7 linked regions of the Oryza sativa Japonica Group genome follow. Each later gene encodes a partner of the first gene's protein in a complex. Links are inferred from orthologs where the notes say so. Each region holds a gene or a part of one and is shown in the gene's direction. Other genes may lie near its edges. The genes, in order: large ribosomal subunit protein uL15c; 50S ribosomal protein L24, chloroplastic; large ribosomal subunit protein bL21c; uncharacterized protein; large ribosomal subunit protein bL28c; large ribosomal subunit protein uL4c; large ribosomal subunit protein uL29c.

The links.
Region 2: large ribosomal subunit protein uL15c (region 1) and 50S ribosomal protein L24, chloroplastic share a complex: the UniProt entries of both Arabidopsis thaliana proteins name them as parts of the 50S ribosomal subunit. The link is inferred for Oryza sativa Japonica Group from reciprocal best matches to the Arabidopsis thaliana genes RPL15 and RPL24.
Region 3: large ribosomal subunit protein uL15c (region 1) and large ribosomal subunit protein bL21c share a complex: the UniProt entries of both Arabidopsis thaliana proteins name them as parts of the 50S ribosomal subunit. The link is inferred for Oryza sativa Japonica Group from reciprocal best matches to the Arabidopsis thaliana genes RPL15 and RPL21C.
Region 4: large ribosomal subunit protein uL15c (region 1) and uncharacterized protein share a complex: the UniProt entries of both Arabidopsis thaliana proteins name them as parts of the 50S ribosomal subunit. The link is inferred for Oryza sativa Japonica Group from reciprocal best matches to the Arabidopsis thaliana genes RPL15 and emb2184.
Region 5: large ribosomal subunit protein uL15c (region 1) and large ribosomal subunit protein bL28c share a complex: the UniProt entries of both Arabidopsis thaliana proteins name them as parts of the 50S ribosomal subunit. The link is inferred for Oryza sativa Japonica Group from reciprocal best matches to the Arabidopsis thaliana genes RPL15 and PRPL28.
Region 6: large ribosomal subunit protein uL15c (region 1) and large ribosomal subunit protein uL4c share a complex: the UniProt entries of both Arabidopsis thaliana proteins name them as parts of the 50S ribosomal subunit. The link is inferred for Oryza sativa Japonica Group from reciprocal best matches to the Arabidopsis thaliana genes RPL15 and RPL4.
Region 7: large ribosomal subunit protein uL15c (region 1) and large ribosomal subunit protein uL29c share a complex: the UniProt entries of both Arabidopsis thaliana proteins name them as parts of the 50S ribosomal subunit. The link is inferred for Oryza sativa Japonica Group from reciprocal best matches to the Arabidopsis thaliana genes RPL15 and AT5G65220.

Annotation. Positions count from the first base shown.
Region 1 is NC_089037.1:6,341,566-6,345,889, forward strand, and holds the start of large ribosomal subunit protein uL15c, read left to right. Parts: upstream 1-1,400; 5' UTR 1,401-1,459; coding exon 1,460-1,877; intron 1,878-2,043; coding exon 2,044-2,195; intron 2,196-3,181; coding exon 3,182-3,403; 3' UTR 3,404-3,417; exon of another isoform or gene 3,418-3,519; intron 3,520-4,159; exon of another isoform or gene 4,160-4,324. Other genes in the region: uncharacterized protein, read left to right, coding at 135-868.
Region 2 is NC_089040.1:29,338,638-29,343,062, reverse strand, and holds 50S ribosomal protein L24, chloroplastic, read left to right. Parts: upstream 1-1,730; 5' UTR 1,731-1,810; coding exon 1,811-1,933; intron 1,934-3,042; coding exon 3,043-3,081; intron 3,082-3,156; coding exon 3,157-3,384; intron 3,385-3,497; coding exon 3,498-3,680; 3' UTR 3,681-3,902; downstream 3,903-4,425. UniProt on the Arabidopsis thaliana protein: One of two assembly initiator proteins, it binds directly to the 5'-end of the 23S rRNA, where it nucleates assembly of the 50S subunit. Required for optimal plastid performance in terms of photosynthesis and growth.
Region 3 is NC_089036.1:9,030,768-9,035,188, reverse strand, and holds large ribosomal subunit protein bL21c, read left to right. Parts: upstream 1-1,674; 5' UTR 1,675-1,720; coding exon 1,721-2,023; intron 2,024-2,494; coding exon 2,495-2,575; intron 2,576-3,123; coding exon 3,124-3,225; intron 3,226-3,308; coding exon 3,309-3,383; intron 3,384-3,502; coding exon 3,503-3,586; 3' UTR 3,587-3,832; downstream 3,833-4,421. UniProt on the Arabidopsis thaliana protein: This protein binds to 23S ribosomal RNA in the presence of protein L20.
Region 4 is NC_089035.1:25,929,405-25,932,411, reverse strand, and holds uncharacterized protein, read left to right. Parts: upstream 1-1,555; 5' UTR 1,556-1,639; coding exon 1,640-1,729; intron 1,730-1,837; coding exon 1,838-2,155; 3' UTR 2,156-2,416; downstream 2,417-3,007. UniProt on the Arabidopsis thaliana protein: Binds the 23S rRNA.
Region 5 is NC_089039.1:104,682-108,735, reverse strand, and holds large ribosomal subunit protein bL28c, read left to right. Parts: upstream 1-1,254; 5' UTR 1,255-1,297; coding exon 1,298-1,478; intron 1,479-3,093; coding exon 3,094-3,326; 3' UTR 3,327-3,643; downstream 3,644-4,054.
Region 6 is NC_089037.1:8,802,456-8,806,843, forward strand, and holds large ribosomal subunit protein uL4c, read left to right. Parts: upstream 1-1,341; 5' UTR 1,342-1,409; coding exon 1,410-2,343; intron 2,344-3,503; coding exon 3,504-3,541; 3' UTR 3,542-3,758; downstream 3,759-4,388. Other genes in the region: peroxisomal nicotinamide adenine dinucleotide carrier, read left to right, coding at 137-339. UniProt on the Arabidopsis thaliana protein: This protein binds directly and specifically to 23S rRNA. May play a role in plastid transcriptional regulation.
Region 7 is NC_089036.1:32,213,388-32,217,464, forward strand, and holds large ribosomal subunit protein uL29c, read left to right. Parts: upstream 1-1,668; 5' UTR 1,669-1,699; coding exon 1,700-2,053; intron 2,054-2,994; coding exon 2,995-3,138; 3' UTR 3,139-3,414; downstream 3,415-4,077.

The DNA of each region.
Region 1 (4,324 bases):
ATAACATTTTAAGACCATAAAACAGTCTATTTTGTTGAAATGCCTTGAGATGACTCTTTACTGCAGATATACATTTTAAACTCTTAGTATGCCTACTCATACAAATTGATGATACTGCTAATTTTTGTTGGTAGCTTTATCTGTAGAAGCACCTGATTGCAAAGTTGAAGAATCAGCCCCTGGAAGTTGGCACAATGCGCATGCATCAATTAAGGGTGGAAAAGGCAATAAGCATGAACTGGAAGAAACCTCTGCTGGGTTTCCTCCTGATGACTCTATTGGTATTTCTGGAATGGAGTCCTCTTCAAGAGACACAGCTAATAAGAAAATCAAATTGTCAAAGGATATTGGTTTGGACCGTCTAACCGCCACAACTGTTCAGGAAGCACCGAAGCGTCCAAGAACAACCTCACTAAAGAAGAATCAAGAGTGCAGCAGACAGAAGAAAAGAAAAATAAGCAAGTGGGATGGTTCCTACTCTGTAATCATTGAATGGTTGAATTACTATTCTGTGGATGAGTCAGATGAAGATGAGGTGCCTTTGATAAATAAAAGAACCGAAAGAAGAAAGCGGCAGAAGTTACTGAAACTTGTTCTTGCTAGGGAATCCAATAGTGGCAGTGAAGGTGCTAGTTCTACATCTTTTGTAGAAAATGGCAGAAATTCTAGCAGTGCTGGCTCTTACCCCCTAAGCCAGGGGGACAATGACAAATCTGAAAATGTGCAAGCTAATCGAGTTGATGTAAGTTCATTGCCAGATCATCCTGTAAGTAGTCATGTAGCAGCAGAGGATCAAGCTGGCCAAGCTGCATCGTCACCATTGAACTCACCAACTAGAGGTATCGTTGTTGACATTTCAGATGGTTGATGGCCAGAGTTCCATTAGTTTCTTTCAGCTGAGGCCTGGACGTACAATTATCCAGACTACAGTTGTAACACTTACTTTTAATTCCTTGCACCTGTCTACTGCTAGACATGCAACGGGACGATCCTGTGAAGCATGTGTCTTGTACATGTCTTCGTTTCTTCCTTTCTCATTTCACCTTTTCTTTTCTTAGCATAGATCAGTTCAGTATACTTAACTCTGTCAGGTTGTGTGACCCATCAGTTTCTCTCCGTACTAGTCTCTTGAAGAACAGCAAAGATCAGGTTTTCTCTTTGGTTGATTGTGTGTGGAAGATCAATCCAAATATGTTCATTTCTTAAGAAGATAAATTCAGTTCTATTCTATTCATAAACTTTTGTAAACCTTCTAAAATCCTTTAATAAACAAGAAGCAAAGTGAGTAATACGAAACCATTCACAAAATAGAGGGAAAAGAGGCCCAAATTCCCAAGGGTTAATTGGATTCATGGCCCATTTATCCAACCGTCTTATCTCCCTCGTGTCCTTCCCCAATTATCCCCTTCTATCCACCCACACCAGCAAGCCGCTCAGGCGCGCTCTCCGCTCCACCGCCATGGCGTCCATCACCCTCCTCTCCCTCGCTCCCGCGGCCACATTGCTCCACCTCCCGGCCTCCACTTCGCTCTCCACCTCCTTCGTCGCCGCTCCAGGCCCCATCTCCGGCCGCCGGTCCGTCGTCCTCCGCGCCCGCCCGCGCCGCTGCGTCACGGTCGTGTGCAGCGCCGCGGCGGCCGAGGCCGCGGAGGCGGAGCCCGCGGAGAAGTTCCGGCTCGACAACCTGGGCCCGCAGAAGGGGTCGCGGCGGCGGCCGAAGCGGAAGGGGCGCGGTATCGCGGCGGGGCAGGGCGCGAGCTGCGGGTTCGGCATGCGTGGACAGAAGTCGCGCTCGGGGCCAGGCGTCCGGCGCGGGTTCGAGGGAGGGCAGATGCCGCTCTACCGCCGCATCCCCAAGCTGCGCGGCATTGCTGGAGGTGAGTCTCTTCGAGCTTCCCGCTTCCCCTCCTCGCCCTCAATCGAAGCCTCACACATTCAAATGCACTGGAAATTGAGTGGGAACACGCTAGCACCTTCCATTTGGAATGCAGAAATGCTGGGATTGAGAAGTGACCCGTTGCAAGTTCTACCTTGCGATTGCAGGAATGCATATTGGCTTGCCGAAGTATGTGCCGTTCAATTTGAGAGACTTGGCGCGTGGCGGGTTCAAGGATGGTGACGAGATATCATTGGAATCCTTGAAATCGAGGGGTTTGATTAATCCGTCTGGCAGGGAGAGAAAGCTTCCTCTGAAGGTACACTATACGACGATTATCCTTCTTTTTTTTAAGTCGGTTCTGTAGATGACCATGTTTTACTGAAAACTGAAATATGAATGCCTTGCATTTGATCTTTGCCAGTGAATTCATCAAGTTCACCAGCAGTCTTGGGTAATCCTTTAGTTGTTGATGTTGTGGATTGAATGGCTGGCCTTTTTTTTTCTTGTAGTTCTCAAATGTTGCTGTGTTGGTCTGTCCTTAGCAGCAATTACCAAGTTGAGTATTCGAAGTCTCAAAGTTGTGTGTCGGGATCAATTTTCTTAGCTCGTGTTGGACAAACACGGTATGATTTGACGAGTGTTTCTATTGGCTACTCAAGGATCTAGAACGTATGAGTTATGATGAACCCACACATGGTGTAGGCCTGCATATGAGCATATCTGTCAGGCATAAACATGAAGTGGTATCAAGATCCCAACAAAACCATGTGCTCTTACATGTACCACTGCATGTCTGCATCACTCCCAACATACCCAAAATATTTACTGTTTGTCTCCACTCTTAGTTGGCGGATTGCTGGAGTAGATGCATTAGTGTGCTACTGGGTTGCCCCTTATAGTGGGTAGTGGTGTGGCGCTTGATCACTGATGTGACAAAGACTTCTCCAAGGGTGGAACTTAATGCACCTTGAATAGCATAATTGTTCAACTTTTATTGTTCTTTCTGGTCCTATTTCATTTGATTGATTTTTTCTATACTCTAGGCTCCTAGCTATGTGGTACATATAAGGTAAAACCCACAGGGCTAAAACAGGTATCAAGACCTAAGTCATAATGTGGGGAGCTATCAACTTTATCCTTATGATAGGCTTTTTCCTTCTTGACATCTGATTCTGATGTTCAGCAGATGGCGTTCCTTTCATCTTTGTTTGAGTACAATGATACTGCAATGTTGCTGTTGTTATTGTATCTTTTATCATGCGGGTAGTATTAGTATGCTAACTTTTGAAAACCTATCTGTAGATTTTAGGAGATGGTGATGTATCAGTCAAGTTGAATATCAAGGCTGGGGCATTCTCTGCTTCAGCCAAGGAGAAGCTCGAGGCAGCTGGTTGTACTTTAAGTCTGGTACCAAAGCGGAAGAAATGGCTACCACAATCTTATCTGAAGAACCAAGCTCGTGCAGAAGAATACTTTAGCAAGAAAAATGGTGGTGCTGGTGAATCTGATGAAGCATCTGCATAGAATTCATATACACTGTACTTCTCCTTTACCCTTTTCTTTAACATATACTTATTTCTCTTACCTTGTTCCAAAAGTTCCACGTTCAACGAATTTTGAATCCGTGCGATATGCAAGCATTTTTTTTTGTGTGTTTCCTGTTTAAATGGAGAAAATTCCTTCTATACCCCTGAAAGTTTAGCCAATCCCTTCTACGCCTCCGAGTTTTGTCCACTCCTTTGTATGCCCCTGAATTTTGGTTTTGATCCCTTTCATACCCATACCGTTAGTTGAATGTTTAATTCTAATGAAAAGGACCTTTTTGCCCTTAGACATGAAGGAAATCTAAAAATTGTAGACTAGCTATATTGTTGGAAGTGTATAATTTTGTTATATAAGACTATCATATTCATGACTTTATTGTACAAGGTATTATTCATGGCAAAGTTTATTTTTACCTAATGACATAAAAACTAATATTTATTTACCTACTAAAAGAGTATATGTAGCATTTGTTTATGGTAGTTCAACATATTTTCTCCTGTTGTATATATTATATAGGAATGCTTTCCAAAACTATGTTTATCATTTAAAAAAATGCTACATGTACTTTTTAAATATATATTAAATTTTTTATGTACATAAAACTTATGAATATGATAATCACACAACAAATTTTATACTTCCAACAATATAGTTTACAAATTTCTACATATTCCTCACATATTGAAGGGTAAAACTGACTTTTATATACCTATTAAACGGTCAATTAACGGCAAGGGTATGGAAGAGATCCAAATCAAAATTCAGAGGTATACAAGGGAGTGAAGGAAATTCATGGGCATAGAAGGGATCGGCTAAAATTTCAGGGGTATGGAAGGAATTTTCTCTCTTTTAAATGTGATGTATGTCAAATGTCAGTATGCATACCCCCCAACACACACC
Region 2 (4,425 bases), on another chromosome or scaffold:
CCTGAGATTATAGCACAGTCACACACTTATCCCATTGGAAAGAAAACGGTTTGCTTGCACGGCAGAGCCTTTCAAGAATTGAATAGCTCCAGTGATAGCCACACGAAAGGGACAGGAGCGATTTGCTGATGGTGACCAGTGGAACAGGCAAGAATGTAGTGCACGTGTTATCCATGAAATCCCTCACATGTACACCTAAGGTTTATCACTAAATACAGTAACACACAAATACACAATGCATATAAACGTAGACTTTTGAGTCAACAGTTTTGTTTATCACGAAATATAGTAACTAACACTCAAATACACAATGCATAGAAACGTAGACTTCTGAGTCAACCGTGTTAGAATAGCTTGGCCAAAGATGCTCGATGATTCGAAATCTTCGGTCAAAAAGCTTGGAATTCATAGTATAACGACCACTGTCACTATGCTATTTGGTTTTAGGTAGAGAAACCAAGAGTTCTTCGATTCGAAATTAGGTTGGTTCCTCAACCTCCTCACATGGATCGGAAGGCTTCGATTCGAAGTCGTCCGATTCACATCGGTGCCATCTACCTACCCATCCCCATTCCCCACCGCCCACGCCCAACCCTATCAAATGAAACGCGAGATTGCAACCCCCCAAAGAGAAGAAAACGGCAGCGGAAATGGCGACGTCCCGATCCCCCACGCGGCGTGATGGGGAAGAACTCCTCAGGCGTACGCGCATCGGCAGCGTCGTCACCGCGAAAGCGCCCCCCAAAAGAGAGAGGAAATGGGTCCCAGAAAAGCGCAAAAGGGACGGAACTTGGGGGGTTGCTTGCCTCCGCAACTGTCGCTTGGCTTGCGCGCGTCGCCGGCGACGTCGAAGCCGCCGGAATCCGGGAGGCGCCACGCCTGGGCGCCCCCGCCGAAGCAGCATCTCGCGGCGCGTGGCGTGGTGATGATGCGTGTGGAGACGAAGCCACGCAACGCAACGAGGAAGACGACGAGCGTATGCTGGGCTGGGCCTTATCCGAAAACGGGTGTCGGCCCATATCAACCCAGGACGTTCGGCCCACGTTACTTGACCACAAACGGGATTGCGGACGACGAGCGGCCCACGACATTTGGGCCTTAACCGGATTGCTGACGTGCGTGATAGTAAGTCTATTTTGCCTCCCTCATGTTCTCTGCGAGTCAGCCTGCCACGTCAACAGGAACCACCCTACAAACCATCTAAGGGTTGATCTGCTACGGTTTTCGCTTATTCGAATCGTTTATTAGCAAATAAAAATTTATTTATGAGTAAAATGTTTATATATGTCCATAATAACTTAAAGCAAATGTTGTAAAATATAAGCATTTTAAAAAAACAAAAAAGCAAATTCAAAACTAAGTTCTCAAATTCAAATTTTGGCTCATAAATATAAGCATAACCAAACAATAAGACCGATTTTCCTCCATTTTGCGGTTGAGGGAGGTAATTCAATCAGGAGCAGAGATGAGAAATGTACAATAGATTTTATCTGTGTAGGTGCGACCTGTTCTTGTTGGGTCGAGACGGGATTGCGGCTTACGTGAGGCCCGCTATATTTGAGCCTGAACGGGATCGCGGCTGACTTGGGCCGTAAGGTCCGTTGTAGTTGGGCTGGATTACGATAGGCCTTTCATTAGGCCTTTATGAGTCTTACAAGTGGGCCAATCCATTCGGCCTAGAGGCCCATTTGTCATGTAGAAAAGCGCTCGCCATTATCCTGTCCGCGAGCACACGAAGGCGTTCGTTATCCTCTGCTGCTTCTCTGCGGTTTGAGCGAGCGAGGGAGGAAGAGGAGGGGAGGAGACGAAGATGGCCGGGGTGGCGGCGTTGCAGGGCGCGATGGCGTCCCTCTCCATCTCTGCGCCGGGGGCGGCGAGCACCAGCAGCTTCTGGGGCCACCCGCTCTCCACCTTCGCCGCCGCGCCGGCTGGGGTTTGTGCCGACTCCCAACCCTGATTCTCATTTTTCGCATTCCTTTATGTTTGCTCTGCTCTTATGATTCGCTGGAAAAGTAGAAATGCCAGCTTGCACTGAGATTTAGGATTTTAGAGCTCACCAACAGCGTGGCATTGCAATGGTGATGTCTACATCGCCTCACTGTACTGTTGTTGCCTTCAGGAGTTCAGGCTCAGGACCTCAACTAGCCAACAACCAACGTTGTGTCAAAATTTTGTGGTATATTTTTTTTAGAGAAAAGGTCTCAAGGATTTTGTGGTATAGTTGAACCTAGTTGGCTAGTATAAGGAGGGTTTATATGAATTAATGAATGCTTGAAATCTCAAGTTTGAGTATATCAACTGAGTGAATTCAGAAGTTAGAAATTGTGTTGTCTACCATGGGATGTGGCCTGTTATGTTTCAGTTTAAACTTGAATATTATTTTTTTCCTATGGTGGTATAAGCGATGGATACCCAATATTCAGCCTTTCAAGCAGAGGATTATTTTTCTGAAAGATGTGCCCTCTAGTGAGACAGACCATTTCTTGTTCTAACCTGCTGTATAGATCACATTTCGCTGGCTAGAAACAATTTTGCCTTTGAACTTTAAATTACTCAACAGTAGAAATTTCACAGAAGACTTCCATGGGAAAATGATGGAAACTCATTTCACTCGGGGATAGCCTGTAGCAAATGATTGGCACACTCGGTATACTTATCAGACTGAACTTGTTCTATCTTTTGTATATTCTTTTTGGCGTTCCTTAGCTCTTCTAGATAGTCTACTGCACTTCGTCCTCAGAATGAGACTCACTCACGACTAATTACTTACCTGGAAAGTGGTGATGAGAGAAAATAAGGCCGAATAATTGCTCTTGAATGGAGTGACTGAGCTATATATGGCACTTATATGATGAACTGTACTAAAATCTGCACTTATATGAAGAAACTCGTACTAAAAGATCATATGATTATCCTAGATATTCTTGCCTAAGAAACATCGTGAGCATGATTCATGTCATATCTCAAAAGCAGCTGATTATTACATTTTATGTCATTTTCATAAGAAACTCTGACAAGATATGCATAAATTTTTATATGCAGGTTAAATTTATGATCAAGACATGCCCAATTCAAATGAGGGTAAGTTTCAATTCTTTTTTGGTCTGCAGCTTGCTATTTACTCAAATGTCTGAAATTTCCCTTTTTCCAATGCAGCTTAAGCGATGGGAGAGGAAGAAGTGTAAACCAAACAGTCTTCCTGTCCTGCACAAGATGCATGTTAGGATTGGCGATACAGTACAAGTCATTGCAGGCCGTGAGAAAGGTAAAGTTGGAGAAGTTACGCGGCTTTTTAAGCACAACAGCACTGTAATAGTGAAGGACTTGAACTTGAAGTCCAAGCACAAGAAAGGAACAGAAGATGAACCGGGTGAAATCGTCATGGTCAGCATTGTTTCTCTTGAAACTTCTTTCTGTGCTGCTTCTAGCTAGTGTCGTATATATAGTTTCAGATGCCTGATCGTTAACCTATGGTTGTTGGTGTTTTCTTTGATCAGATTGAAGGCCCCATTCACAGCTCAAATGTGATGCTCTACTCAAAGGAAAAGAATGTGGCGAGTAGGGTTGGACACAAATTCCTTGAGGATGGAACGAAGGTTCGGTACCTGGTCAAGACTGGTGAAATAATTGACAGTGCTGAGAATTGGGTCAAGGTGTTCAAGGAAGGAAGTTCGGAGTGATCATGGTAGCATGGGAGTCCTGCACATTTTCTGAACTGCACTTTTTGTATGCCCAAATGAGTTGATGCTTTTCTAGATTCAGATTTCAGAGTCTTGTAAATTTCTATACAGTTGCCAACATTTTTTTGTATCCAATGACATGCTTGGCTTGTTAACCAGCTACTAGAATGGTTCAGCTACATTCGCTCATACAAATGATTTTGTAATGTTGTTGCTGTCCCCTGTCCTGAGCTATTATTCGCAACCATTGACTAATTTGGTCCATTTCCATATAGAAATATAGATGAGATGTACATATAAAACCCATGAATGATTGATAAGTTCTTTTTTTTAAGGAGTAGTAAGATAGGAGTATCATAAAAGAAACAAGCTTAGCAATTTTTTTTTTGAAACAACCCGCAGCGATGTTTCTATTGATATAGTAGGAAAAAAATACAAATATATAGTGCTAAAAGATAGCGATGTTTCTATTGATATAGTAGGAAAAAAAATACAAATATATAGTGCTAAAAGATTATAGTCAGAAAAAGGAAAAAACAAATCTGATTTGCCATTGATAACATGAAAGCTCAAGAGCTCGTGCTGACGGCTGAGAATCAACATAGCAGATATGGCACGCAAATATCAAATCCAGGTGATCGTAAGCAAACCACAGTTTTCTGCTTGCGTTTTGCTCCGCGAGGGAAACCTGACACCTGTCCAGATCCCATGAGACGAAGATGCAACCCATCAAGGTCACGAAAAC
Region 3 (4,421 bases), on another chromosome or scaffold:
TGAAGGTGATTGCTATTTAACTTCTATAGCTGATTTATTATTATTATTATTATTATTATTATTATTATTATTATTATTATTATTATTATTATTATTATTATTATTTTGGTAGCATAATTTGGAAAAAGTTATGGTTGCGAATGATAAAAGGCCATAAATTATGGCATAATAAACATCTTCTATATAAGCTATGGTATTTAATCGATTCAGCATCGATTGTCATGGCCTTTAAAGTGATATTCTTTTATGTTGGAAATCGTACTGCACAGTTTCTTAATAATTTAGAAAACTTATCATTGCAAATAATAAAAAGGTTGTCCTTTGTACTCTTGTTTTTAAAGACAAACTTAGATAACAGTCTCACAGTTTATCAATGTTGTTTGATAGCCTTTGATGCGCTTGCATGGGCTGCAGCATATAGCAACAGGCCAAGCAATAGTGCGCTATACCTTGCATTGGCTACGGCTACACAGTCGAAGCAATGCCATAGAAATGTGACTACTGAACATGTCAATGTTCATTGTTGATAGAACTGGGAGTACGGAAGATAGTCTCTTTAAGATGGCTAGGTCAAAATATAAGCAAAGGAGGACTCAACAAGATTTGAAAAAAAAAACAACAATCAGGTCCTCCTCTGTCTTATGCCCACATTGGTGGTGACTGGTGACATACTTGATGGCAGTGGGTGCTACATGGACACGGCGAGCTACAGAAGATGTTGCCTTGACGCATTCCCAAATAGGGTTTCACAACAATAGAGGTTAAGGCCATGACAATTCATGAAAAGGTTCATCAATACCATAGATGAGTACATCCAGAGCTAAATGAGATTGTTCTTGGAGCAGAACCATCAAGGTCGACAACCTAATCGTTGATATTGGTGATAGAGACAAAGATTTCATGGCAAGTTGCATAAAAAAGCACCAAGAAGCTTACCTTATTAGGGCCTCCATAGCCTAAGGTTGAGGAATCCAAGCATATAGCAAACAAAACTCAACTGCTTCTTGAAGGTTTGCCACCAATAAAGAGGAAGAAAACTATCATCCTTGCGAAAAGCCTGCTGGAGAAAAGAAAGATAACTTGCCTAACTTCCCTTAACTAGGTCTAGCTTTCTCCTAACTCACGGTGATAGAGAATTACCCGGTGTTTTAGAGGGATACCACTAGAGAAGAAACTTCGATTGCCTTCTCCATGAAACCTAGGACTAGAAGGCCAACATCGCCGACCTTCACGCTCAAACTAAAAGAAAAACCCAACTAAATTGATTGACCTACAAAGAGAGAGTTTGTCGGACTTCTCTCCCTCACCTCGCCGGCGGCAAGGTCACCCGAGCCTGTGAGGAAGAGGGGTCGAGGAGGCGTAGTAGTTCAGTTTGGCTCTTTCGTCCGAGAGTTCACGAGAGTTCTCATCACTCGTGTTAATTCGCATATTCTTTATGGTCTAATCAACACATTCGATCCAACTCTTTTATAATCTTTAACTGATTAAATCAAACGATTCTAAACTTTAGAAAGGAGAAACAAAATGAGTACGTGCAGTATCGCTAAAAAACTAGTAGGGCATAGTTTCATGTTTTTCATGGGTATCTAATCTGAGCCGTTGATCTCCAATCGAACGGCTCAGGGTAACCTCCCTATCCACAATATTATCCCTCTTCTTTCTTTCCGATACGATAGCCCACACTCTCATCCACACTGCTCTTCCCCCCCGCGCGCCGGCCATGGCCACCGCGACGCTGCCCCTCCGCCTCCTCGCCTCCAAAACCCTAGCCTTCCCCTCCGCCCCGTCCCTCCCGGCCTCGCGATGCTCCCTCCCCGTCGCCGCGTCCGCGCCCCGCCGCTGCTGGCGGCTCCTCGCTTCCGCCGAGGAGCCGGCGCCCGCACCCGTGGAGGCCGAGGCCGAGGCGGAGGTGGTAGAGGAGGAGGAGGTTGAAGAAGAGGAGGCTGCGGTGCCGGAGCCTGTGGAGGCGCAGATCGCAGCCGCGGGCGCCGGGAAGGACGCCGACATCTTCGCCGTTGTCATGGTGGGGCTAGCTTGCCCTTGCCGCCAATATTTCAGATTTAGTCCTGCTCGGCTCACTGCAAACAAACAAAAAAAGAATCACATTTGTTCATGCTACATTACCTCGAATTCTTTAAATAATATCATTACACAGGCATTTGGCGCTAGTTGCGTTGCTTCTTGCGGTGAAGTGAGCATTTGATTTCAGGCTTGTGTTGCTTACTCTATGCTGCATAAGAAGCTTAGGATTCACGCGCCAATAGGAATGCGCGCACGCCGATTATTAGTATGTACAGGACACACCATTAAGAAAACGGCGCAGAGAATTACAGTGTTTTCGAATGATACAATACTAGTCTTACAGAGAATTGTTCGGATGCATTTCTGAAATATGCAGGAGTGCATCTGAGGAGGGTTTCTCTGTGTTTTGTTTTGTATGAGCGCTGTGAATAATAACGAGGGAGCTATTTTGATTATTTTTCTTCTGTCGCAGATTGGGTCGAGACAGTACATTGTGATGCCTGGAAGGTATATATACACGCAGAGGCTGAAAGGCGCCAATGTCAATGATCAGGTCTGGTGCTTCCACTTTAGAGGATGCAGGAGGATACTTGTTACACCCTAACTAGAAATTTGGCCTATTTTTGCTAGTTAGTTGGTTTGTATTAATCCATAAATTTAAAAGGTATATGATGCTGAGGTGGCTTCTAGATAAGGTGATTGTAAATTAGGAAAAGGCAAATATATAGTATTGGTTATTTGGTTATTATTCTTTTTCATCCATGAGATGCAATAACAAACTTCAAAACAACGAGGAAGGTTGTACATTCTGAAATTATGGAAAGTGGTAGTGACCTACTTCATTTTAGAAGTAAAAGAGTCACTTCCCTGTAATTATAACACTTCAATCCCAGTTCCTGATTTCACATAAATATCTTATTCAGAACTTTTCGATAAGTTTTGTGTAGCCTGCATATATTAGCTTCGTTCCTTTTCTAACTAAAATTACTCCTCTGATGCAAAGCTTCCAATCCCATAGGACCCATACGTTGGCTTATGTTGCTGGCATTTTTAGTATTGTTTTCCCAGAAATTCTCACTTCTGGATAATGCTGATGTGCAGATAATATTAAACAAGGTATTACTGGTATCAACTAGAGACAAGGCTTACATTGGCATGCCAGTGGTGACCAATGCTGCTGTTCATGCAGTGGTTGAGGAACAGGTATGTCCTCTGTATGTTGTCGGGTTAATCATGGATATTCAAAATTACTTGACCCTGATGTCTCCCCAATATTTTTATATCAGGGACGGGATGATAAAGTGATAGTCTTCAAATATAAGAAGAAGAAGAAGTACCAGAGGAAACTTGGTCACAGACAGGTAAGTTTTTCCAATTACCTTCTTCAAGAAAGGTAGAATTTTATTGATAAATACTGATTCAGTTTTTACAGCGAAGCAATTAGAGTTCTTTTAGATTAAAAATCTCTGTTGTTTTGCAGCCAAACACAAGGTTAAGAATTACCGGCATAAGTGGATACGAGGACTTCCCTGCTGACCCGATACTTGAGTATGTTCCAGCTTAAGAGCAATTGTAAGTTCTGTAGTTACAAACAACTGGTAGTACATTAGAATACGAGTGCTACCTTTTCTTGTCTGGAAGAACAGTTTTTGAACAAAATTTGCTTTGTTCATGTGTTCGAGTGCTGCCAGTCATCCAGTTGTTCCATCCTTTGTTTATTCCACCATCTGTTTTGTTCATTCTGATATTGTGTATCCTAGCCAACTGTATTATTTTCACTGTGCTTAAAAAAAGAGAGAGCATTTTACCACGATACGGATGTTTTAGCTTTGGTTTGTGTAACTTTATACAGTTTTTGTGACTACTGATGCTAATTTCACTGTTTTTGGCATCTGTACCAATGGTGCTTAGTTTATTGAACGGGCTATGTCCTAATATTTTGGGATCAGTTACAGTACTATGTTCAATGCAGTTCTGGTCATGATTTATTCGAGTGTTCTAAGAGAAGTTCTGCAAGGCCATATATAAGGTGTTTGTGTGCAACCTTGTACTGCTTAGGGCACATAAGCAGCTGGTTAGGACTTAGGCCATATAAGCATCTACAAGGCAGGTGGCTGCATGGATTCTGCTTACCACTTTTTAGAACCTTGGTTCATGAAGAACTGCAGAAGTTTTGCCCTTTTGAATCCTTACCAAAGATAACCAGTGGCATAAGGCGTATAATCTTTTGGCAAACTATGACTGTTTCAGTAGTCCTTCACCCCTAATTGCATATTACAGTTCTGAATTATAGTGGTTTTCAGACATCTTTTGCCTAATTGAAACCCTTGTTGAAGTAAAAATTTGACCACTGTAAAGGTTCATAAACTAAATATAATCACACTAATTTGTTATATGCT
Region 4 (3,007 bases), on another chromosome or scaffold:
CAATTTTTGTCACCCTCTCCTTCGACGATGGCGGCGGGCTCAGCGCACAGCGTGGAGTCATCGCATGCGACGGTAGGGAAGAAGAGGTGGTGCGGGTCTCCGTCCCCAACCTTGCCTCCATGGCTCCACCATAGTGTCGTCGGCCACAGCTTATGGGGGCATTATCAGCAAGGAAGACAATGGGGGAGAAGAAGAGGTGGCGGGTCTCCATCCCAATATAACTGTAGATTCATTGGCCGCGGCACGTGGGGCTCCACCGGCAAGGAAGATGACGGTTCTAGACGCCGCTCCCCTCCAGTGCGGGGATTAGGCTTAGCGCTCCCCTCCATCTTTCACCGGCGGCGTGGGGTCTGTGACCGCCACTCCCCTCCAACGCATGGGTTGGGCTCGGCGCTTCCCTCCACCTTCCACCAGCGATGCAGGGTTCATGACCGTCACTCCCCTCCAGCTCCACCTCCCTTCATTGGGTATTAAGCTTGCAATCGTCACCGGATTGGCAACGCCCTCATCGAAGAAGCTCTCTCCGTGCAGTCGTCGACGAGCCTGAGAACCGCCAGATTTTCGCCTGAGTTGAAGAAGAAACTGATCTGCGTTGTGCGGTGTTGAGCTAACAGAGGTATTGACAGTTGTTGTAACGGAGTGGCATAGCTCAAATTTTGCAAAATTTCAGTGGCATGAACCTGATATCGTGAATAGTAATGGCAAATTGGTAAACTTGCAATAACATGATCCAATTAACCCATATCTTTGGGGAGGCTAATGCGCACGTACGTGCTAGCAATTTAGCTGGCGCCCGCGTCAGTTGGCCCCCTCCCCTGTTCCCGCGTGCTTTTCTTTCTCACTTTTTTTTTACGATTTTGGCGCCTGGATCCGGGTGCGTTTTTCTTTTTTTTCGCCATTTCTTTCTATTTTTTTAATCTTTCGCACACCCCTTTACAAATGTAGAGTTGAAAGTTTTAAATTTTGACTTCAAAGTTTTTAAATTTGACTTGAAAGTTTTCAAATCTGAGTTGAAAGTTTTAAATTTGAGTTGAATTTTTTCAATTTGAGATGAAAAGTTGAAAGTTTTCAAAATTTGACTTTAAAAAAAATTCAAATTTCGAGTTGAAAGTTTTCAAATATGGGTTGAAAGTTTTCAGAATTTGACTTGATGTATAAATTTCTTTTCAATCTGTTACTTTAAAAAATTTTCGGAAAAAACAAATCTTATCTTGATTATCTAAAACTAATGTATTTTTTTACACGCTAAAACTAATGGACTAGTTACTACATGCGCTATGGAAAGAATCTAACCGCGCCCGTGCGGTGCCGTGCATACGCGTGGGCCAGAAGTGCGCGCCCGCGGCGCGTATGCGAGAATTAGGAATTCTGCATATTTTTACCACGTAAACGAAATAATTGCATACATTTTTTTTTCTGGGCCAGTAAGTAACCAACGTGTATCAGCCCAAACCAAACAACAATTAAGAAAGCCCAGCCAAAGCGAGGCAGGCGAGCGGCCACCCGCACGGCACCAAAGCCTCAAAAATTGAGAATCATCAACGCTTGAGAGGATAACACACACCAGAAACCGATAAGGGACACGAAACAGGGGAATCCGGAGCAAAGTGCGACGCGAGCGCGCGAGGAAGCAGCAGCCATGGCGCTCTCCCTCTCCACCTCCTTCCTCCCGACCCAAGCCGCCGCGGCGGCCACGAGGACCACCCTCCGCTCCCTCGTCCCCTCCCAGGTACGATTCCTTCGATGCCCCCACAACCGCGTAGGCGTAGCGCCGCCGAATCGGAGATTCGGAGGAGGTGATTGGAACTGGGCGGTGGTGTGACGATTTGCCGTGCAGAGGATGCGGTGCTCGATGCGGAAGAAGGGGCTGCACCCGGAGATCTACGAGGACGCGAAGGTGTACTGCAACGGGGAGCTGGTGCTGGTGACGGGGGGAACCAAGCCGGAGTACACGGTGGACGTGTGGTCGGGGAACCACCCCTACTACGTCGGCGACACGTCGGCGATGGTCGTCATGGACAGCCAGATCGAGAAGTTCCGCAAGAAGTGGGGCCACATCAAGGAGTACTGGCCCGAGGACCAGTGGAGGGAGATGCACCCCGACGGCGACCCGGAGTTCGACCCGGAGGAGGAGGGATCCGCCGGCGCCAGCTGAGCCCCCGCTTCGCCTCTCGCCTCCGCCGCCGGCCTCGCCGGTGCGGTTTCTCTTGGTTGATTTTGGGAATTGCGTAAAATGGATTAGCTCCTCTTGCTTGCGCCTCTCGTTACACGTGCATTCGCATTGCTCTCTAGGTGTTCGATCGGTGTTCTCAGTGGATACGTGTGATCATATTTGTGGTATCGAACTGTTTGTTCTCTGCCTGTACTCTTTGACATCGATATAAAATGGAGATATTGCAATTTGCACACTCTGTAATTGGACATTTCCAACTCGTTGAATCGATGCATGCTAGTGTTGGTCTGGGCTCTCGAATAGAATCGTTGCATACATCAGTTTGTCCGGTCTTCAGAATAAGCAGTAAGGGGCTGTTAGTTCACGTACTAACATTGCTAAGGTTTACCATGTTTTCTCGCTAAAGTTGAGGCCATCAAAATCCAAGCCACGCTCTAGCCAATAAAGGCTATGTTTAGTTCCCAAAAACTTTTCGCAAAAACATCACATCGAATCTTTGGACACATATACGAAGCATTAAATATAGATAAAAAAAATTAATTACACAGTTTACATGTAAATCGCGAGACGAATCTTTTGAGTCTAATTAGTCTATGATTAGCCATAAGTGCTACGGTAACCCACATGTGCTAATGACGGCTTGATTAGGCTCAAAAGATTCGTCTCGTGGTTTCCAGTAACCCACATGTGCTAATGATGGCTTAATTAGGCTCAAAAGATTCGTCTCGTGGTTTCTAGGCGAGTTATGAAATTAGTTTTTTTTTATTCGTGTCCGAAAACCCCTTCTAACATCTGGTCAAACGTCCGATGTGACACCCAAAAATTTTCATTTCA
Region 5 (4,054 bases), on another chromosome or scaffold:
CCTTTGACTTAAGTTAGAGGAGCCTTGTCGGTCCACCACACACCAACACTGGTAGGACAGACAACAATCCTCCACACCGCCTGCGAGAGGGTCCTCTTCCTGTCTTCCTGGCCATCAAGGAGGAGAGAATCAACTCCACATCTTCTCGGGTGACCTCTTTGATAGCTCCTTCGGCGAGGGATGGGTGGGCGGAAGTCAAGGAGGCTGTTCTTGAAGACGGAAAAGAGAAGTAGGGGCCGGCTCGACCTCGACCCGGTGTTGCGATGTCGTCGCGAGCATGCCGGTCTGTCTCCTCCGAGAGCTCCACTGTCTCCACTTCAAAAGCCATCAACGAGGAGGAGCCCAAGAGCGATGTGGAGGAGTATGAGGAAGAGGAGGAGGTGGACCAGTGGGTAGAAGTGTGCTATCTGGAATGGAGGTTGATGCGAAGGGGATCTGGAAGTGGGAGCCAGACTTTTGCTACTGTCCCCATCTTGGATGCTCGCGAGAATGTGTGGGAGTTGGTGGTGTGCGACACGACATTGTCCCTCTAGTTCACTTGCTTCTTCCCCAACACCTCCATCAACAACGTCACCCTCCGCATGCGTACTCATCTTCATCACTACCGCTTGAGCTCAAGTTTTGCCGCCACCACCGCAGCACCCCCTTCCCATCCCCGCGGCTCCTCACACTCCTGACACGACTGGGCTTTCCTGCAGATAGCTCATGAGCTCGAACTCGCCGGCTCCCTCACCTACCTCCTCTTCTCCCCCGTCGTGGACCACTGGAGCCACCTCATCACTGACCTCCCACCACCATTACCACCTCCCGTGGATGGGCTCGCTGGCCGCCGCCCCTCTCCCCACTGGAGGAGATGGGAAAGAGAGGGGGGAGGTGGAGAGATGGGGAAGAGAGGGGACAGGTTGGGAGGAAGTCCACTTTAAATTTTAATTTTCTGATTGGTATGCCACGTTAGTGAAACCAGTCATCCATAATACCATGAGACTGACTTGGAAGGTTTTTCCAAAATGGGGGGGAGGGGGTGAAGATTGCTGGTATTGCGGTTTAGAGATACCATTAAACTCGACGTAAAATAAGGGATAATAAGTGGACTTATCACTGTGAGTAATACTAGTAGTAATGAGAGTTGGGCTTGGGCCGCCCTTTTCTACAGTACTACGATATATGGGCCCCTGCTCACACAGTACATAGAGAGACGATTATGATAGGATAGGAGAAACAAGTTGTACGCCACGCCGCAGCCGCACAAGACTTGATCCTCTTCTTCTTCTTCTTCTTCCTCCAGGCTCCAGTGGCGATGGCGACCATGCTCTGCTCCTTCACGCCCGCCACCAGGGCTCCGCTCCTTCGCACTTCCTCCTCCTCTTCCTCTCTCGGCTTCGCCACCTCGCAACTCGCCGGCCTCAGCCTCGGCCTCTCCGCCGCAGCCACCACCGCGCCCTCCGCCGCCGGTCCCAAGCTCCACCCCATCCTCGCGCGTACGTCATCTGCCTCCTCCTTCTTCTCTCTGTTTCGAGCCATCCACCCGCAGATTGACATTACAGTTTTATATTACACCACCAATGTCATTTCTGCTACTATTAAAGTTGTTACTTTATCCTTCGTTTTTTTTTTGCGCTATCCAATACTCCACTGTATATATACTACTACTAGAACCAGATGACCTATTTGTTAGTAATTGATTGCTTTAATCTCTCGAAAATAGACTAGCTGTCAATCTATTACCATAAACTCAGATCTTTCTTTGTATTTTTAAGAGAATGGAAGCTTTATTGAATTTGGTCGTTCTTTGCACCATGTCAGTGCACAACCAATAGATACCACACAACAAGAAAAACAGAACTAACTCAACGATTAAGGACCTAATATCGGAAGACTAGGTTGCCGCTCATGTGCCTGGGTAAAAAAAAAAAACCTTGACCACATGCTCCAAATGAAGACAAGCCGAACAGACAAAACCCCTGTAATCTGGCTTCTTGAGAATAATCCATGATCGGAGCCAATGTGTGATCAAGAAAATAACCTGCAAAGAAGAAGAAACAATTTTCCTGTCAAAAATCACATCATTCCTTTATAGCCAAATAGCCCAACAAGTCAACTCCTAGTAGAAAAGGAGGCCTAGACTCTTTGTTTTGTCGCAAACTCCATTGTCCAGACATATGTGACACACTCCTAGGTGAAGAAATGTTCGATGCAATCTGGATTAAAGACCAAACTGATCGGGCTAGCCGACATTCAAAAAATAAATGCTTTATCGTTTCTTCCTTGTGGTAAAAACAATAGGTCTTATTCCCTTTTCAATTCCGTTTAGCCAGGTTATCTTTTGTTAACACCACCCCTCGACATAAATACGATAGAAACATTTTCACTTTGAGAGGGATTTTTAACTTCTAGATATGTTTGTTAAAATTGGGAACTCTTGTATGTGCAAGATAATGAGTTTTAACCAAGAATCTTCCATCAGGTGTTAGATTCAATTTAAAGTCATCTTTCTCGTGTGACAACACTATATTAGCAATGCGTGGAAAGAGATGATTCCACGCCACTAACTTAAGGCCAATAATATCCTTGCGCCAAGTGAAATTTAACAGGGTTGTTTAGAATATATTTGAAATGGTTGCTTGTTTATGTCTGACAACCATCTCTTTGTTTCTCTAAGACATAAGCAGAGCTTCTTCTTCTTACTAGTGTATATAAGAAAGAAGGGGGAAAAGAAAAAATATAACTATTCTGGCCATTTCAAGTTATAGTTTTAGTTTTATTCTAAGTCAACCATTCATAACTTTAACTATCAATTTCTTATTTAAAAAGATAATTGTGACTTATCAATTTCTAGAAATTTGTAAAGTTTAACAACATGTTAATTGTACTATATATTATGAAGGTACTTTTCATGATGCATATATAAACACATAAATATTATGATATTAAATGTTTGGCTTATGATAAAGTTAAGGACAAGTAATTTAAAAGGGTGAGATTATACTTTATCTTTTGTTTGCATGATGCCACAAATTATAGAAACTAGTAGTAGTAGGAACAAGATGGCGTGTATGGTGATGTTGTTGTATGATGTGGGGGTGGGTGACTCAGGCCGGATATGCCCCTTCACGGACAAGAAGACCAACAGGGCGAACAAGGTGTCCTTCTCAAACCACAAGACGAAGAAGCAGCAGTTTGTGAACCTGCAGTACAAGAAGCTGTGGTGGGAGGAAGGCAAGCGCTTCGTCAAGCTGCGTCTCTCCACCAAAGCCCTCAAGACCATCGAGAAGCATGGCCTCGACGCCGTCGCCAAAAAGGCCGGCATCGACCTCAACAAGAAATAAATCAAATCATCATCATCATGATGCATACATACATGTATTCTCTCATCAATTGCCGCTGTGCTGAATAGACCAGAGCTGTATGTAGTCCATTATTAAATCCATTCATCTCGATGATGCAATTTATTGTAGAGTACTACAGTATGCATTCATCGGTGGTGGTGGCCGGCTTCGTTTCCTTAAATTTCCTTTTATCCCGTGTTGCTGCTGCAAGTCCGGCTCGAATTGTTTGCTACTAGTGTTTCATTTCGGTCGAGTTCCTAATTAATACTGTATGTTGGTTACGAATTATAAGATGGATGGATGTAACTTGAGCAGCATCAGGTCGTGCAGTTGGCATCTTGCGCTTTTCACTTTAGAGTGTCTTCCAGTCTAAGCTGAAATTGATTAATTATTTTATTTCCTTTTTGGCTATTGATATTTAATAAGAGCCTAAATGAAAGAATTAACTTGTACAAAATTGAAAAGCTGTTTGTTTTGTACAAAAGGAACTCCTACGCCAATATTGATTGTTCTACTGCTATGGCCTGTCTGGTTTGAGATAGCTGAAATTGATGGATTGTTTTATTCCCCTTTTTAGCTATTGATATTTAATAAGAGCCTAAATGAATAATGAACCCCTACAAAATTAGAAGGTTGTTTTTTTTCTCTCTAAAAATGTAGAGACGAGAAAAAGGTGTTGAGTTGTAGACGTGGAGCAACCCGGCAGCTCCACACACGCGCAACCTCTG
Region 6 (4,388 bases), about 2.5 Mb from region 1:
TAGAGTGAATTATTATTTAATGAGTGATGTTGCTCCATATCCTGTTTCTGATAGTCTTTACTTCTCTTCTGGTAATAATATTTGCTGTTCTCTGACTTTGTTACCAAATACGCTATGCAAATTTTATTGCTTGCAGGCACATTTGATGCGATCACAAAGATGATACGTTATGAAGGTTTGTCAGGGCTTTATAAAGGAATGAGCACAAAAATCGTACAAAGTGTTTTTGCTTCTGCTCTCCTTTTTATGATTAAGGAGGAACTGGTGAAGGGCGCTCGATTATTGGTAACCGGCAACACCAGCCTTGTTAAGAAGTTACCATCGAAGCCATTAAGATGATCTAGGTTGTACAAGAGTTAGTTCCCTACTTATACCACAATTGTTTCCATAAAGCGATGGACAGAGTTGCCAAGCGCCCCTGTTAGGAGATATCAAGTTATCTGTGAGACTCTGATCGACTGTAGGCTCTCCAAAAAAAGGAGATTAAAGATGTAGTACAATTACCACTGTGATTCTTGTAGGAACCAATAATGATGGTATATATTGGGTAGGCTATCTCTGTTGCTCGTGTAAAGTATACTGTTATGGAAGATTGAAACACTAGAAAATAAGTTGGCAATGAGAATCGCAAGCGCTAGTCATCTGTTCAGATTACTTGAGTTTCTTTAGCTTGTTTGTTAGAGCTAACCGAGAAGAGGATCGCAATCGTGAAAACTTCGCAAGTGTTCAGAACAAAAGTAGAAGTAGAAAATTTGGAGTTCCTGTCCATTTTTAGCATAACTGTGTCTATGGTGCGCCCCATCTGTCAATGTGGTTCTCAGGCAACTGTTCTGATACACAAGTGCTAATGAGCAATCTGACCCGACAAAAAGGAAATGAAATTTAATTTGATTATTTCAAACTCATTTTGGTGAAACTAAGCCTCCTTCTTTACTAAGATGCAAATTCTTCCTAACACATTTTTTAAACTGCTAAATGGTATGTTTCATATGAATTTTTTACATAAAAATATTTTAAAATATCAAATAAATCAATTTCAAGTTTAAAATAATCAAAACTTAATTAAACATAAGCTAATGGGCCGTTTTCATTTTGCTTTCCTATTTTATTTCATCTTTATTAGAAAAAAAACACCATCTAATAGACTAATACTGCCTCGAGGGTTTTTCTTTAACAATATCTAAGTTTTTTTAATGAAGAGATGCTTCTTCTAAAATCCAAACACATAGTAGTGTGTGTATCTTACTGGTCTGGCGCGACCGACTAAGCTGACACTCGCGAGAGTGTGGCCGGTCCGGTCGGGTGGGGGTGGATAAGGAGATAGAGAAGCGGCCGCTCCGCAGCTGCAGCGGCAAAGCCTCCCCGTCGTCCAGCCCACGCAGCGCACCGCAGCGAGCGAAGCCGCCGCAATGGCCGCCTCCTCCGTGGCCTCGACTCTCCTCCTCTCGCTCTCCTCTTCCTCCTCGCCCTTCCTCTCCCCCACCTCGGTCTCCTTCCTCCCATCCGCCGCCGCCGCCGCCTCCTCCTCCCCGCGCGTCGCCGTCGCCGCCGGCAAGCAGAAGGCGGCTATCTCCGTCCTCCGCGCCCTTCGCGCCGAGGCGGCCACCCTCCCGGTTCTCTCCTTCACCGGGGAGAAGGTCGGGGAGGTCGCCCTCGACCTCAAGTCGGCGCCGCCCTCCACCGCGCGCGCCGTCGTGCACCGCGCCATCATCACCGACCGCCAGAACAAGCGCCGCGGCACGGCCTCCACGCTCACCCGCGGCGAGGTCAGGGGAGGCGGCAGGAAGCCCTACCAGCAGAAGAAGACGGGGAAGGCGCGGCGCGGGTCGATGCGCACGCCGCTCCGCCCCGGCGGCGGCGTCATATTCGGGCCCAAGCCCCGCGACTGGTCCATCAAGATCAACCGCAAGGAGAAGCGCCTCGCCATCTCCACCGCGCTCGCCAGTGCCGCCGTGGCCGACGATGCATTCGTCGTGGAGGAGTTCGACGAGGAGTTCGCCGCGGGTCCCAAGACCAGGGACTTCGTGGCCGCGCTTCAGCGGTGGGGGCTCGACCCCAAGGAGAAGGCCATGTTCTTCGCCACGGATTTTGCAGACAATGTGCGGCTCAGCGGAAGGAACATTGGCTCCCTCAAGATGCTAACCCCCAGGACTCTCAACCTATACGACATCCTCGATGCCCGCAAGCTCTTCTTCACCCCGGCCGCCATTAACTATCTCAACTCCAGGTATGGTGCCACCGTTTTTGATGAATATGAGGATGATACCAATGGCGAGGATGATGGTGAGGAGGAAGCAGAGGAGTTGCAAGAAGGAGAAGGGAGCGCAGAGGAGGCTGCTCAAGGTACATAGCTATGCATGAACAATTTCCAGGTGTCTTTTTATTGTTTCTATGGTGGGCATGTGCGAAATGACTTTGAGTAACTAATGCTATCCAGTGATCCTTTATTTTACATGTTTTAGTTGATAGTTAGGAGAGAAAATGCTCTGCTTTAATGGCATGTACAGTAGTTTTTTTTTTTATCTTTTAACTCTTAGCTATGCTCTGTTGTAAATATCATGATCGATGCTATACGTATGCTGATAAAGATCCTGACATGCGTTTTAAGGGTAAAAACAAGATAACGTGGCAAAGAAACAGAAAATGTAGCCAGTTTTGTCTTATGAATACCATCTTAATTATTATGGAGAAATTCTTTGTGGCCTTGTAGACTTATGGAGCTAATTTTTTTTTCGAAATAGTTCTCTTATCCTTACCAGCATGCAAAAGGAAAAATGCTTACCATGCTAATGTACATCGTATGGTTTTTTTTCCTCCTGAAAGATCCAATAAGTCCATGACATAATTCAATGGTCTATTTTAGAAGCATGCTTAGAGATCCACCTACCCCTATGCTAGCTCTCAGTAGACCCACTGAGTCTGTATTTTACTCGTTATTTTGCACCTCCTTAGGGTTTTTATTCAGAGCTCATGAGCAACTCAACAATTTGCGAATAGAAAATGACTTCACCTAATGGTGGTTAAATTTTCGGCTGAAGGTGGATTAAGTCCTAAGCACTAAACTAAAAAATAAGAAGAAATGAGACTGCATGGAATCCATGAACACCACTGAACCAGAACTCTGGGGATACTGGTACACTCCTTATAATAGTGTCACAATCTGCTGTGCCACACAGCTACCCCTATCACCTATCACTTGAAACATTGTCAGCCATTGGCACTGTCATCATTCACTTCAAAGATGTTCTGTTAGACCTTAGAACCATCTTAATAAAGTAGTTAGCTGTGAATATGCTGGTTTAAGTTGCTTTAGAGGTAAAACCTAGTTAAACACATGTTTTCTCCATCACTCAAGCACTTCCTTTTCGTAAATACTATGCATAGCTACAGGACTAAGTTATTATTAATTGACATTCAGTTCTCTGTTACATTTTGGTGCTGCATATTATAACTTTCTCTTATTTTGAGCATTTCTCAGGAACTTCTTTTTGTATGACTTTCAGATGAGGCTGCAGAGACTGAGGCTGATAGCAATTCCTAGGGAAGGAGGTGTAGATCGCGTGTTTTTCGTTTGTTGGTCTGGTAATTGCTTCCCTGATGCAGAAGCTTTTTGGCTTACTTTTGTTGTAAGTTTATAATGTTTTTTTTTCACTGATGCAGTATATTAGATCTTCAAACTGCACATATATTTTCAAATACAATGTCGTGTCAACCACTGCATATTTTTCTTCCAATTTTATACAGAAAGTGCTTCCCAATCTTGCTTCAAAAAACCAGTGTTGACCTGCTGGTTACCACTAATTTTCTACTCCCTCCGTTTCATATTATAAATCATTTTGACTTTTTTTTCCTAGTCAAACTTATTTAATTTTGACCAAAATGATAGAAAAAATAATAACATTTTTAACACAAAACAAACATGTTATCAAAAATATATTCAAAGTTACATTTAATAAAACTAGTTTGGTATTATAAATGTTACCATTTTTTTTCTATATACTTAGTCAAACGTACAGAAGTTTGACTCCGAAAAAAGTCAAAACGACTTATAATATAAAATGGAGAGAGTAACATCTTGAGTAGGGGTATGATTACAAAATCTTGTCTCCTTAAATTGTTGAATTGTTCCTTGTTATGACTAACTTTTTCGCTGGGTGAGCTCTAACAAGTAACAACTAACAAGTCTTTTCAGAGGACTTGCTGCATTTTACAATGTGGAAAGTAGCCTAGCTCAACTTGGACATGGAGCACTGGAGCAGCATAGCCCGGGTTAGATGCTGATCTTGAAACTCTAAGCCCAGATCAGTCGTAAACAACAGACCATTTTGCTCAGGTTTACTTGTAGATCACCTGAGGGTTTAGTGAACCAACCCTCTGCTTATGCCTAA
Region 7 (4,077 bases), on another chromosome or scaffold:
CAATCATTCTCATCCTCATCCATCGTATTCATCTGAGCAATCCTGCGTCCATTTTGGGAAAAAAATAAATCCGGTCCTGGTACAGAGTGCACGTCATATCGACATAGCCGTTGTATTTGTATGCACCCCTGATACGGCTCATCATGTAGATGCACAATCTTTTACGCCTTAATGCTCACAGTGAATGAACGAACTTCTCGTAGAAAACAAATTGAGTAAAGCAGTTATAACTTGATATATTGCTGTGTTCACAGAGAAAGCAACATGAAAAAAAAAGAGAGTAAAATGGTAGTAGGACTTAATATACCATTACGCATTTACGCTCACAGTGAAAGATCAAATCTCTCTCTCTCAAAAAAGGAGTGCAACAGTCAGACTTGATGCACAATCCATATGCTTCTTGATTCTGCATACCTTTCTGTCATTGTGTATTCAGCTTGTTAATTTCTGCTTTACATCGTTGAAGTGTTTCTGGTTGCTAAATAGGACAAATTTTATACTTGTAGATATACAAATACACTTAATTGAACTTGATTAACATAATTCTGTACAGAGCACAGCTTAAGCAGGCAAAGGTGAACAGAGATGTAGTTAACATGCCTTGGTGCTGATGTGTGAAGGTGTTCCAGATGCTTGGTCTTCTGCTACCCTCAGCTGCACCACCCTCGTACTGTAAGTCAAGAAAGGCCAACTCTTCAGATTTCAGACAAAGACAAAACATGTTACAATGTGACAGTTAATTTTTGGCAACTCATTCATTCCTTGGTGCCAATCTGAGCATTATTCAGTAGCATCGTGTAACACGCAAAAATCAACGAAAACAACAAAAGAAATTCCTTCTTTTTTCTTAATTACAGGTGGAATTAATCAGCTGTGGTGTGAAACTGTGAACCCGTAGGGAAGCAGGGGAGGGAGCTCCCGCTCCTGCATGACGGCATCCGGCGGCGGTAGCACGGTCCTCAGCCACGCCCTTTGTTGCACGGCCAGTGGCCTCCGTCCGAGATCCCCTTGGTGCCGCGACTTGGGGAGAGAGGCGGTCGGCGAATCAAAAGGCAGAAGCGAAGACGGACGTAGCGATGCATGTGATTTCCTCCTCCCCATCCCCAAGCACGGCAACCGAACTCATCGCCCCATCCAGCGACGAGGTGGATCTATGCCACCGCCGCCGAACTTGAGGGGAAAGACGGCACAGAACGGCGCGCTGGCGCGTGGGAGGGTCAGCCTAGGGCGTCGGAGGGGCGGAGGTGGAGCTGGAGCGCGGGGAGGAGGAAGAGGCGGCGACATCGGCGTAGGAGGACAAGTCGACCTCCGACGAATGAGGCGGAGGAAGCGGGGGCGGGGGCGCCGGCGGAGAGAAGGGCATTGCAGGTTTGGTATAACTTTTTCAAAAAGACCCCTAAAACCTCACATATTACAACGAGGTCCACCGCAGCTATTCCACACCGTTGATCTGTGATCTGACGGCTGCGAGAGGGAGACGAAAGCTGGAATCGTGCAGCGCCACGTGGAGGGGTTATTTGCACGCGAATCCGCGTAGATTTCGATATTTAGAGATGTGACATGCATATTAAGCAAGTGAAAGCCGTCCGATAATGCTTGAAGATTCGTGCCCCGAGTGGCTAATCAACATGACCAGATAAACCCCCTTATCCACGAACCCCGACCGGCAGAGAGCGCAGACGCGAGCGCAGCGCAAAAGATGGCGACGATGTCCCTCGCCGCGGCGTCCCCCCTCGCCTCGACTCCCCGTGGGCTCGCCGTCTCCACTCCCCGCACGGCCTTCCTCGGCCTCCTGACCGGAGGGGCGTCGCTGGCGCCGTTCCCGGGACTGGCGGCGGCGGCGGCGCCGCCGCGGCTGCCAGCGGGGAGGGGCGACGCGGCCGTGGCCAGGATGGCGAAGAGGGAGCAGGAGCTGGAGGAGATTCGGGCCATGCCGACGGAGAAGATCGAGGAGGAAGTGGTGGACCTGAAGGGGGAGCTCTTCATGCTCCGCCTCAAGCGCTCCGCGCGCCAGGAGTTCAAATCCAGCGAGTTCGGCCGCATGCGCAAGAGGGTATGTCTCTTACTCCATGGGGTACAGATATACCACAACTGCTAATTCCATTGCGAAAGTTTAGCATTTACTCCTGGCCAAAATGCGTTCAACCTACGAGTGGAAATTCCACCTTCTACTTCCAAATGGGTGTGGAGTGGTCGCATGTTCTGCTCAGTGTGTTCTGTTTACAAGGCCCTTTTGTTCAACCTCTAGTACTGAGTTGATTATGTTCAGATATATTGAGTTGATTTCAGGTTCAGAATAGTGGAATAACTTACCAATTTGTTGGTGGAATTTTGCCTGATTTTTATCAGTTGCATATTGGCCCATACTGAATTTACAGATGATTTGGGTTAATGCTTGGACAATTTCAGTCTCAGAAGCAATTTTTTTTTACTTAATTTGATTAGAAAGTCATGCTGACATCCATTTACGTATTCTTACATAGTATCTACTTTGGGTTTGTAGTATTGTTTATTGGATTTTAGTGCATAGAGTACTACATGAAGAATGATATTGCAATGCAATGTGTATCTGAAGAGCTTTTATACTGTTCTTGGGAAAGTAGTGTTAAATTAACCTTCAGTGGACCAAAATTTAAAATGGAACAAAACTTTGTTCTGAGGACGTCAAAATGCAGATAGTACACAAGAACTAATTCTACGGTCAGTTATGTGATACCTTGTTCTTCTTGAGGGCTTCTGATAAGTCAATTGTTATGAATTATCACTTGCTTTGGAGTTCAGGTCTCCACCTCTGCTCAGGGACAGCACAGGACAAATAGTTAGCAGCAGAGTAATGCATACTTATATCTGCCTCGATCAATGCTTCTTGCCTTTTAGGAGGAGGATATCAGATTTTTTTTTCCTGTTGTTTTTCTCACCCTGCTCATCTTGCTTCAATAGCAGCTTTCTACTATCTAAATTTAGCATTGACTTGGGTTGTCATCTTCGCATCAGATTGCTCGTATGCTGACTGTCAAAAGAGAACGGGAAATTGAACAAGGAATCAACAAGAGATTGTCTAGGAAGCTTGACAGGAAATGGAAGCAAAGCATCGTGGTTAGACCACCACCATCTCTAAGGGAGAACAAGGAGGAATAGAGAGCCACAAAAGCAGACAGTCTGTAGAAGTCATTTCATGCATGTCTTGAAGGAAGGTTTCTTTCTCCCTGTGGTTTCATTCCTTATAATGGATTGATATGTAATTCACATTAACTGATTTCCAAGTCCTTGCTGTCAAAACCAAAAGTTCTATTACCAATTCCATTTGTGTAAATTTCAGTTTATTCAAAATGTGTTGTCCATATATGCACTTATATTACTGATATATGAAACTGTGCTTAACGAGTGTATGCTATACACTTGTTGAAACTCAAACTGCCTATTCAAATTCACCTGTCACAAAGTTGTGGGTACGTACATACTATAAGAGGCAGATATGCAGAGTTCTAAAGAAGTGTCTCTGGAATACGGAGTAACAAAAACAAGAGAATTAGGCCATGTCTATAATAGTTCGCTTGGAATTTTGGTGCCCTGCTTTGCTCCAAACTCAAGTTCACTGTTTTATCAAACGTTTCAAAACTGTACAACTGTCTCCAAGCCCACGTTCTTGTGGCTTGTTGTGTCGGTCACCTAGATTTATGTTATTGTTCAACACTGATTTATGCTTAAACTAGCTCTGTTAGACTGTCCTAAAGCATGTTGGGCTTTCCCCTTCTACTCTAGCTTTAGAGTATGCTGCAGGTATCTCTGCACAGAGCTAGGGAGCCATCCTAGATCCATCATCAGTTTCATAAGCAAGCCCAGGTGGCTTGGCCCTTCAGCCAAAACTTGTTATTCTGATCTCTTCAACAGATCTTAACTTGAGATGTAGAGAGGCTTCACTCACAAGGTAATCTTTTAGTCAACTATTGTCTTCCTCTTTTTTTAGCTAATTGTTTAGTGAGCAGAGTACTGAGTTGGTGATTGTTTGAAGATAAATGCCAACAAGTGGAAATAGCATCCATGCAATTCTTTTGTTGAAAGTCTCAAGTCATCAAG